Arabidopsis thaliana: one gene and its partner. The protein of the gene in region 1 binds, or shares a complex with, the protein of each later gene. Each region holds a gene or a part of one and is shown on either strand. Other genes may lie near its edges.

Region 1 (5,805 bases):
TAAAGATACAAATCCGAAAACTTAATCTTAGGCTATTATGACCTAAAATTAATCTCCAATTGAAATCTTTAGAAATTATTGAAAGAAAAACTGAAAAAGAAACTAAAGCAATCGGTAAGAACAACCGATCGAACGGCGGAGGAAGGATAAAAGCCGGCCAAAACCGCTTGTAAAAGCCGGATTTGCCAGAAGAGGACCGGCCATCTTTGCTAACAAAGCCAAAATTAATCTCCTTCATATCTTTTAGAGAGAGGAACTGTTGAATTCTGTCGACCGGATTATTCTGGTAAACTGCCGTCCCAAGTTTTGCCGACCATGTTTATGACAATGATATGACATTAATATATATCCCCACAAATAAGCTTAATTTTTTCTTATCCTATTATAGTTTCAGAAACTATATTGTCCACAAAAATCTTCTTGTTCTATTTTTTTTATTCCCATTAAAATCATACAGCGATGAAATGATTGGCGATGGAAAAAAAAACAAAGGGACAACTAAAAATAATACTACAAAAGACAAAATAATACTTAATACACGTCTAAATTAGCAATTGACGTCGCTAACCATGTTTTGCCATAATTACCAATTTTCGAAACGATAAACATGGAGTATTCTCAGAACATAATCAGACCAAAACAAGTGAAAAACAATAGCCATTGATTCAAACCAAAATGAGTTTCACTTCACACAATAAGTAAACAAAAGGCGAAGACATTGTAATGATACCGTTGTAAAAGTAAGTCGACAAAACAGATGAGAAACTAAACCCTAACACTTATGAGTAATCTCTCAGTTACGGTACCTGCTTCCACGTTCGCGACCGTAGTCTCTGTCTCTGTCCCGATCATGGTCATAGTCATAGTCACGCTCCTTGCCTCTTTCCCTCTCTCGGCTTCTGCTTCTGCGTCTATCCTTATCGTAGTGATGATCTCTACCACGGTCTCTTTGCCTGTCTCTGCTTCTCTCTCTTCCATCTTTATCAATACCTGCCACATTCATATAAATTATGAACAACTACATTGGATCATGACCTTTCTATTTTTGGGGAAGCAGCAATAAACATTCTTTTCTATCTTCCTCTATATCTATTCAGTGAAAAGAAGAAAACTCTAACAAGGAACAACACTGTTTATTGGAGATCCCCACTAGGCTTGGGCTATAGGCAAGTTAGCTGCAAGCTTAATGTAAAATTTCAAACAAATCCCTCCCCGCATATATGTTAAGTTTCACTCAAGTGTCTAGATGACAAGCAGAAACTTTCTTTGAAGACTATACACAGAGAGTAGATATAGATCGAGCCAAATAAATCTCTATTATAGTGGAAAGGTTCTGTTCATAAGCTCAACCTATTTGATGATTGCATAGATTTAGTTCATATTAGTTAAAATTAAACAGAACTTACCTAGTTCCTCGACTTCCCACCCAGCACGACCAGCAGCAACAGCAGGTCTGGTGTCAGCTTGGTTTGTTTTAACACGGTACTTCTTCTTTAGATTCCCAAACTCATCATACATTTCACCATCATCCTGAAATATATTAGACGTATAAGTCAAATGGAATATACAAAAAACTGAGAGCTCATCCGAATTGCAACAAAAAAACAAAAAACAAAGAACTCTTCAGGAAAAGCATATCTTACTTCTTCAGCCTCACGCCTGCGTCTCTTCGTTTCCTCTAATTCTTGTTCATCTAATTCCTTGTAACCACCACCACGGCCTCCCCTATTTAGAGAAAAAAAAATGAATAAGCACTGGTCTAGATAAAAACAACCTTCCAAACTCAAACCTTAATGTTTCTTAATGCAACTCTAATTTGGCCAAAATAAAACATTACAAGTGGGATAAATCAATTGTCGAAGAAAACAAGCACTCGTTCAAATTGCAGAAGAGAGTATTGAGACTTTTTCCCAGGTATCTATTAGGCCCTGTCTAAAAGCAGAATAAATATACCCTGCTGACAACAAAACTACAAACATCGAACAGAAAATCTACGACCTCTCCTACATTCACTGTAAAATCATTTATAATCCAAATCCTCAGCTCGAACATTGCAAGATAACAATACAAAGGCAATCTTATCACTGGCTTTGAGTCATACCTCACACCACCTTCATTCTGACCAGGTTTATTGGTGTTGCAGATATTACATTTTAGACGTTTCGCCCAGTTGACATTGCCACACCTGAAAGAATTAGCGCAAAAAGAAAAAGTGCATTATGCATAAGAACTCACATTCACACAGTGCAGCCTCTTAGTTAAGCTACTCGATGACACATAGCATAACTTGCAATTAAACTAAAACATAGTCCATTTTTTGTATCAGACACAGAAAATTGAAGGCAGCCTATCTTCACAAATATAACTTCTTAGAAGGATCAAGACTACAACCTACCCACGTTTCAAATTACATTTTTCAGATTAACAGCCATCTGAAGGAAAATTACGAAATTAGAATCAACATTCAAAAAAGAAGGAAAAAATATGTGCCTCCACACATAATTTGGACCAGTTTAAGAGACACAGCACAGCAGAGCGGGCCATCACTTCTTTCTAAGTAAAGAGTCAACTGACATCATCAAAAGCATTGATATACAAGCTATATTCCTTCCATACATAAGACAAATTAATTTTATATCCAGCAACGCTATATGCCATCTGAATGTTCTCTTTTGCTACTGAATATAAATTGTTTCTTGCGATGTGTTTTAATCAAGTACCAAACGCTCATTATCCTCTGAAACTGAACTAACTATTTCAAACCTAATCGGAATGCTTACATTGGACAAGCCCAATCATTTGGACCAAAGAGACCAGTAGGAGCACCACTGGGCTGCTTCCCCGGGGCCCCACCATCAGCGCCTCCACCTCGACCCCTTCCACGACCAGCACCCATGCTGCCACCAGATGCACCAGCTGGTCTAGCAGTTCCACAGCGGTTACAAACCCCACGGAATGCAAAATTCACATTTGTACAACTGCCAATGAAAGAGTATGAGAACACTACTGCTAGAAACTATAAAATATATAAAAACTAGCAAATTAACGGAAACAAGAGCTAGATGAAGCTCCTCACCGATATCACATCACAGACCTTGTATTAGGGCACATCCAGTCACCATCTTGCTGCCATGGCTTTGCCGAAGAATCAGCCTGACCCCTCCCCCTTCCAGCACCTCCATTTGTTTCCTCAGCACCTCCATCGAATTCAACAAACTCAACTGCATCACCAGCATTTTTATTCTTCGACTCGGCCATAAAAACTCCAATGGTGTTTCCATGAAAATCTTTGTTATTGAACCATTCAACAGCAGCCAAAGCAGCATGCGGATCCTCATAGGTAACAGTAGCATCTCCCTTGGGCTCATCAGTTTCTTTATCCCGGTACAGCCATACCTTAGGAGTACCAGTTCGTTTGTCTCTCTAAAAGCAATGTAGAAAAAAATGTAAGAAACTCGAAAATCTAGTGACCTATAAAAGATTGCAATGACGTCAAAACAAAAGCAACAATTAGTACCTGGCCAATACCATACCTTAAGCAACCCAATGGTCCCAAAATAGTCAGCCAACATATTCTCGTCAGTTCCTAAGGGGAGATTTGAAACGTAGACTGATCCATTAGTAGGATATCCAGCCATCGTAATCCAATTTCATCAAAAAGAAAGCCGCCAAGAATCTGTAAATGACAATACCAAAACTTCACTTAGCCAACATTGAAACCTCGCTAAGAAATAACATCGAGACATTGAAACCCCAAAGTTTTGAGCTCAAAAACCATGAGAACAAAAAGAAGATTCGAAATCTGACCAACGAGATAGGGAAACATAGAAGAGCGAGATAGATAGAAATCTGACCAGCGATGAGGATTCAGCGGCGAAGGAGAGGTCGTCGGACTAGGGTTTCTTTCTAAAGTGCGTCGAGTGAGAGAGAGAGAGAGAGATCTTGCGAATAAAGATTTTCTTAAGGGTAACCTCGATAGTCGATTGTTTGTTTGGTGGTTATATTTGCAATTTCATATAACTTTCCCCCTTAAATTGTAATTTTGTTTTTTTATTTTTTTCGTGGTTAAGGAATTCTTTTTTTGGGTGCAAATTGAGGAATTATTAATTTACAAATTAGATGAGTACCCGCACTACGTGCGGGTTTACGTATTACTATTTACTAATTGTTTTATATAATGTCTGTTTATATAAAGTAAAGTTGAATGCATAGGTTTTGAAACATAAATATGTTTTGTAATTGTTTTTGAAAAGTCCAACTATATTAGTTCATCTGAAAAACGAATGTGCTTGAGTTGTTTTTTATTGTTGTTTTAGATTCTTAGTTTTTTTTTGAATTTATATATCCTTGCTTTTTTAGTTATATGTATAGATTGTGAGACAGTGAAATTTTAGAAAAATTATTTCTTACACTAAAAATATAACATGTCTTTATTAATCATGTCTTTGCATATTCAATCTAAGCATATTCAACTCGATATTCTTAGAAAGTTTAGTTAAGTTCTTGTCATAATCTTATATCTTACGTATTAGTTATAAGGATAGCTCCTCAAATATCTTTCAAATTACCTGTTTTCTTAGCATAAATATCGAAAAGCTTAGATATATTTAATCTGCATATTCATTTAGTTTCTTTCATAATAATCGTCTAATTTTTAGGCCAGGAATATGTGTAACATGTTTGGATTTTATCATCACTTTAGCCACTTAAGTGGATCTCAAAATTAAAGAGGATATATTGAATTAAAAATGTAGAAAGAGTGATGGTTCAAGTTCTCATTAATTATATTCTCCTATTTTAGTTGTTATGTTGAATTAATTACTAATTATGTATTACTTATTTTATGAAGTCTAGGTGGCAAGCTCTCATGTGCTTATGTGTCAAGTTGTGGGAGAGAGTTAGTCTTCTTTCATATATATGATTTGTGTTTCAATGTTGAATCTATTTATAGCCAATAATATCTAATACTACTAATATTATACTACCAAAGTATTGGTCAATAAAAAAAAATACATTTGCATCTAACATATATTGACTAAATTAATAATTAAAAAAGTATTGACTCATACTACAGTAAAATATTTATATAATGCTATCTATTTTGTAAAGTTACTAGCATAAGCTTGTCATTTTTTAAAATCTGTCACTACTAATTTTACTATGACTAGGTAATCACCCGCGCTACGCTGCGGTATTTTTAAATTTTTTGTATCGTTTAATTTAAATATAATTTTTAATTATCTAATCATTTACTTATATAATAAGTAATTATTCTTAATATTAAAATATATTTTTTCTAACAACATTCTCAACAATGCATTATACACACAATTCCTAAACAATGTTCGTCTTAAACTAATTAAATAGAAGGTAATATTGGGATTCTCGAAACCTAAGAATTTGATGATTAAACTTCTTACATACTCTTCACCCTCGGCGATTTATTATATAGATATATAACAATATGCAAACTATTCAAACTATTAATTAATCCATGACTACTATACACTCATAATTTGAGTTAAGATTACAGAAAAAAATCTTTTGAGTATGAGAAAATCAATCAAATTATTTTATTGAAAAACATTTAATAACAAAATAAATTTAGTATTAGTACAATTAAATATGTAAAATTAAATAATAAATACATCATTAATCTATAAATTAAAAGTTGAAGAGCTTACATTAATTATTCAGTGGATACATGGCAAATGTTAAAGTGATGATGTGTCAATCATATGGAGAGAGTTGGCTAACTTTCATATATATAATTAGTAGATTAAAAACTCACTAAAGAATAGAACA
Region 2 (4,611 bases), on another chromosome or scaffold:
AAACAACCTAGCTTTCTAGAAGCCTTGGCTTTTAAAGAAGAGACAGATTCCTCTCTGCCGACGGTTAGCAGTGATCCTTTACCCCCCAGACTCTTAACAACAATTGTCATGGAACCTTGGGTGGGTAAAATTTTTTGCTGCTTTATGGCTAGCTCATTGTCATGTGGATACCACAGAGCTTTGGGCCGGTGAAAATTTGCTCTCTCTTTACTGCAATGAGTTAAATCAAAACTTTTTAACATAAACCACTAAAAAAATGTATTTAAAAAATATATCCAGTGGCAACATTGAGACCACACACGAATGTAACAATGAAGCGTACAAATACAATAAGATGTAAAAATTCAAATGACTCACTTACTTGCTCAATTTGATCTTCATCGTCTGCAATTTAATCGCTGGTGCCGAATGGAAAACTCTCAAACTGTGTACGGTAGATTTCTTAGCATTTCCTTGCAGTTTCTGAGCGCTTTTCCCATTCATATAGAATTTGTCATTAGAAATATTGAATTGCCACCCAGAATTTGATCCACAGCCTTCTTGAAAGGATCCGTCCTTGGATTTTGAAGATCGAGATACAATCCTAGATCCAGCATGAAGTTGAAGATATTTTCTTTCCTTATTGTTCGGAACTTCAAAGATCATTTGCTCATCTTGAAGATCAAATATTAGTTTAGACCTGCTCAAATCTTTATCTGACTCCCATATTATGCTATCTAACCATGACTCATCCCACATATCCCTATCTTGCAATGCAAGTCCACTCAAGCGCCCACGAGCGTCACTATTAAGCTGCTTTAAATTCTCCCGTCCAGCATCGCCATTTTCCCTATAATGATCCTCATCCCACTGAGATTCTAATCTAAGGAGTTGTGGATGATGTCTACTTTTGTTAGTGGACTCATTTGTAGACTGGGAACCTCTTGAGCCAAAAGACTCCAACGGATTTACAAAAAAAGGCTCGAGCATGTTGTTATTGTCCCCTTGAGTTTGCCCTCCAGAGTTCATCACATTTAAGCTTTCTTGTTCAGTCACTGAATTTGAAGCCCTCACCTGTACCATTATACCTGCTGACTCAAGTCCAGATTTGAAGCCCTCACAACAATTAGCACTAAATTGAGGAGAAATTTCCCAGAGTATTAGATGTTCCCATTCTTGCTGGTCTAGAGGGAAAACTTCCATTGTTAATTGAGACTGACAGAGAGATGAATTATCGTCTTTTAAGTCCTGCTTCAACAGTTCACCCATGATACATGAATCCCTTCCTAGCTTGGTAAACTCTCTCGATTCTGATGTAGTATCCCTTACTATGCCAGATTTTACCAGCTGTGAACGCTCTCTGATTGGTAAGGGAACATCCAGCTGAATTTGATCAGTTTTTTTCCCATGAGTGTCAATCCTACCATGGCTCTTCAGGAGTACCTCCTCATCGTCTTCGATAAGCTCAGAAATATCCATAGATATGTATTTGTCTGTACCAAAGAAGGCTATGATGTAAGAGTCTCATATGATAATTGTTTTCATAGAACTTTCTCAGCTATTCTAGTTACATTAAAAGAAGTGATGAATTACAAACAGAAAAGAACAATGCAGAGAGATAACGAGAGAAACAGAGAAAATAATGTATATCATTTCAGAAGCACCAAATATACATATCTACTAAATTCTTGCCAAGAAAAGACAGAGCCACATACAAAAAACTTCTCATGCTTTCGACACCTAATGGCTTTTAGAATTGAACGGGAGATACTGAAAATCTTGAGAAATCATTGTTGTTGTAGATTTTAACATCCCAATGGAAAGCACAAAAAATTCAAAGGCTTTTGAGAATAAACAAAATTAGGAAGCCGTTGCAGATCACATACCTCTATAAGTGATACATCTAATTTCTCTCTTCTGCCGTTTCTTCTGTGGCTCTTGTATAGCAAATATCTCAGAGAATTGTAAGATGACCATACCATCATCTTCAAGATATAACGTAGGCAGCGGGGTGACACGTTTCTCATCCAAAGTAGCTTCTGATAATCCAACCACCAACTCCTGAACGTTTCAATGAGATCACTAACAGAACAAAATCATTCCACAACAAAAAAAGATGTTATCTGAGACACCGAAATCATTCTTGCTGACCTCCTGGACATCTCCTGTGTCCATCTGATTCTTATTTCCCAAGATGCTAGCCTCCTTTTCATGCTTTACGGGCTTTTCCTCCTTCAAGACAACTGCGAAAATAATGTTTAGTGTCTCATAATCACTAACACAAAAGGAATCTAAGAAAAGTTCCAAGAGTTCTGATCTCTAGTATTTATGACGCACTGGACTCCAACTTAACAAGAGATTATTTTCCCGAGCTAAACAAGTATAAGTGTTGAGAAAACTAAACCAATCTGAGATTAATGAAATGACAAAACAAAAGTAGAGAATAGAGTGTGCTAATCGTTTTGTTCAAGAAACGGAAATTTCAAAAGCAAACCTGGTTCCCTCTCTTCTGAATCAAAAGATTTCTCAACTGGTACATGTTCCTTCTCTTGTCCTCCTTGTTCATCATAATCTTCGTCGTCAAACACAGAAGCTCTGGAATTTAAACCACTCAAAGCAAATGCAGCTGATAAGTACTCTCTTTTTGGTAGTAGGTGATCTTCCTCAGTAACTACTTGAAGCTCAGGCCCATCATACTCTTCATCATTGCTCCCATAATCTACACGACATATCATCACAAGTCAGTGAAGCTGATGACCGGGAATTGGTAGTGGCAAATAGTTTCAGTTTGTAACTGCTATGGGTGGGACTTGTTGCGTATATCAAAATCTCAAACATAAAAACCTTCTATTTAATTAACTCAAAACGCTGAGCAATAAATTATCCCACAATAAGTAGATTATGACTAGAGCAAAACTAGGAGAATGCAATACACTAATGAAGAAACCATGTAAGAAACTGCAAATATAACCTGCGGAAGTCTCGTTGTCGTTGGACTCAGACATAATAAAACCCTCGAATGCAAAGAGTGGCGTGACAATTTTGCTTCCCAAATAGCAAAGGAACTACTGAAAAGAATCAGGAGCAAGAACAAATCCACGACTCAACGAAAACCTACAAGGGAAACATACCACCATCAAATTTTCCGGTACAATTAGGGAATAACAACGTTCATACCCAAGTACCAATTTTCGTCAAATTTTGTTGTTTAGTAAGGAACCAAGAACAAAACCCTCGTTGATATCTAACCGAGACGACGACATTCAACGTTATGTGGGATTGGCGGTTTCCTAATTGAGAGTATGTACACATTTAGCCGGAGGAAGTGAAGCGGAGCTCAATCGGGTGATTGGAAGATACAACGGAAAGAAGAAATCGTCTGAGGGATCAAAGAGGCGGGTATTAACATCGGAGTGGTAATTTATAGGGAAAAGTTTATAACCCGCCCCGATTCTGATTTAGTTGTCCCGGGTCCCATTTTTTTTTTTGCACTTCAAAGATTATGTTTATTAATGGTCCACAGAATACAGCCCAATAAAAGCCCATTTAGTTACATATCCCGGGTCCAATAAAGTAAATAATTAGTCAAAAATTATATAATTAAGTAATTAATAATTTTGATGGAAATTTGGCAAGACAAGTAAATAAATAAGAGTAAAAGTGATTTTCTCGCATATTACTCTTCTTCTAGATTTTGGCGCTTTTTTAAAATTTACGTTAGAAATACTAAATAAAACAAACAAAACCTATGCCCTGTTCGTTTTCCTGTCGCTGGATCCAGCGACAGCGACCAACGACCAGCGACAGCAACCAGCGACAACATATATTGTTCGATTGTCTGTCGCTGGACTCAGCGACCAATTACATCAACAATCGCTAATAATTGTCGTTGTGTTGTTCGTTTGACTGTCGCTATAAACAGTCGCTATATTTTTTTTTAAAATTAATTATTTTTGGTACTAATTTATATTTTAAAATCAAAATGTAAATCATATATATCATACACCATGAGAAAAATAAATTAATAGATTTATTTATTTTAGTTTTATCAAATTTAATTTGACTATAATTAGTTTATGTTATTTGAATTTAATTTATTTTAACTTAATTTAATAAGAATTATTTTAATTAAACTAGAACTCAAACCTTTCTTGATATCGCAGAGAAAAATATTATAAATTTATTTATATAATAATTTCTTTAAAACAAATCTAACTCCAAATGATGCATATTCTAAATTTCGTAGTTATTCAATAGTATATATATAACTAACCGGAAAAAATAACTGTAAATATTTTGACAGAAAATTACAATATAGGAAGGTTGCAATAAAAGACACAAGCGAGAAAAAACAACCATCAATATTTTTTACGGAAAGTTGCGATTAAAAGACACAACCGTTCAGAGTGCAAAAAGACATTTATTTTAAGTTTAATTTAATTTAATTCTGTTTAATTTAATTATTTTTAATTATTCTTTAATTTATATTTTTTGATCGCTAAATTGTTCGTTTGCATGTCGTTGGATCCAGCGACTAAAACCAGCGACTAATCGCTGAAATCAGCGACTGATCGCTAAAAATTTCAGCGACCAAAAATTGCGGTCGCTGGTCGCTGGCGATTGTCGTTACTT

What was found. The genes of interacting proteins can lie anywhere in the genome.
Region 2: TAF15 (region 1) and HAF2 share a complex: the UniProt entries of both Arabidopsis thaliana proteins name them as parts of the TFIID complex.

What each region holds. Positions count from the first base shown.
Region 1 is NC_003070.9:18,628,025-18,633,829, forward strand, and holds TAF15 (TBP-associated factor 15), read right to left. Parts: upstream 4,016-5,805; 5' UTR 3,855-4,015; intron 3,677-3,854; 5' UTR 3,639-3,676; coding exon 3,534-3,638; exon of another isoform or gene 3,518-3,533; intron 3,424-3,517; coding exon 3,095-3,423; intron 2,979-3,094; coding exon 2,781-2,978; intron 2,186-2,780; coding exon 2,102-2,185; intron 1,726-2,101; coding exon 1,644-1,725; intron 1,531-1,643; coding exon 1,407-1,530; intron 991-1,406; coding exon 794-990; 3' UTR 531-793; downstream 1-530. Other genes in the region: AT1G50290 (uncharacterized protein), read right to left, coding at 1-238. UniProt on the Arabidopsis thaliana protein: TAFs are components of the transcription factor IID (TFIID) complex that is essential for mediating regulation of RNA polymerase transcription.
Region 2 is NC_003074.8:6,572,569-6,577,179, forward strand, and holds the start of HAF2 (histone acetyltransferase of the TAFII250 family 2), read right to left. Parts: upstream 3,046-4,611; 5' UTR 2,985-3,045; coding exon 2,951-2,984; intron 2,715-2,950; coding exon of another isoform or gene 2,699-2,714; coding exon 2,474-2,698; intron 2,223-2,473; coding exon 2,131-2,222; intron 2,041-2,130; coding exon 1,866-2,040; intron 1,473-1,865; coding exon 362-1,472; intron 211-361; coding exon 8-210; intron 1-7. UniProt on the Arabidopsis thaliana protein: TAFs are components of the transcription factor IID (TFIID) complex that is essential for mediating regulation of RNA polymerase transcription. Core scaffold of the TFIID complex.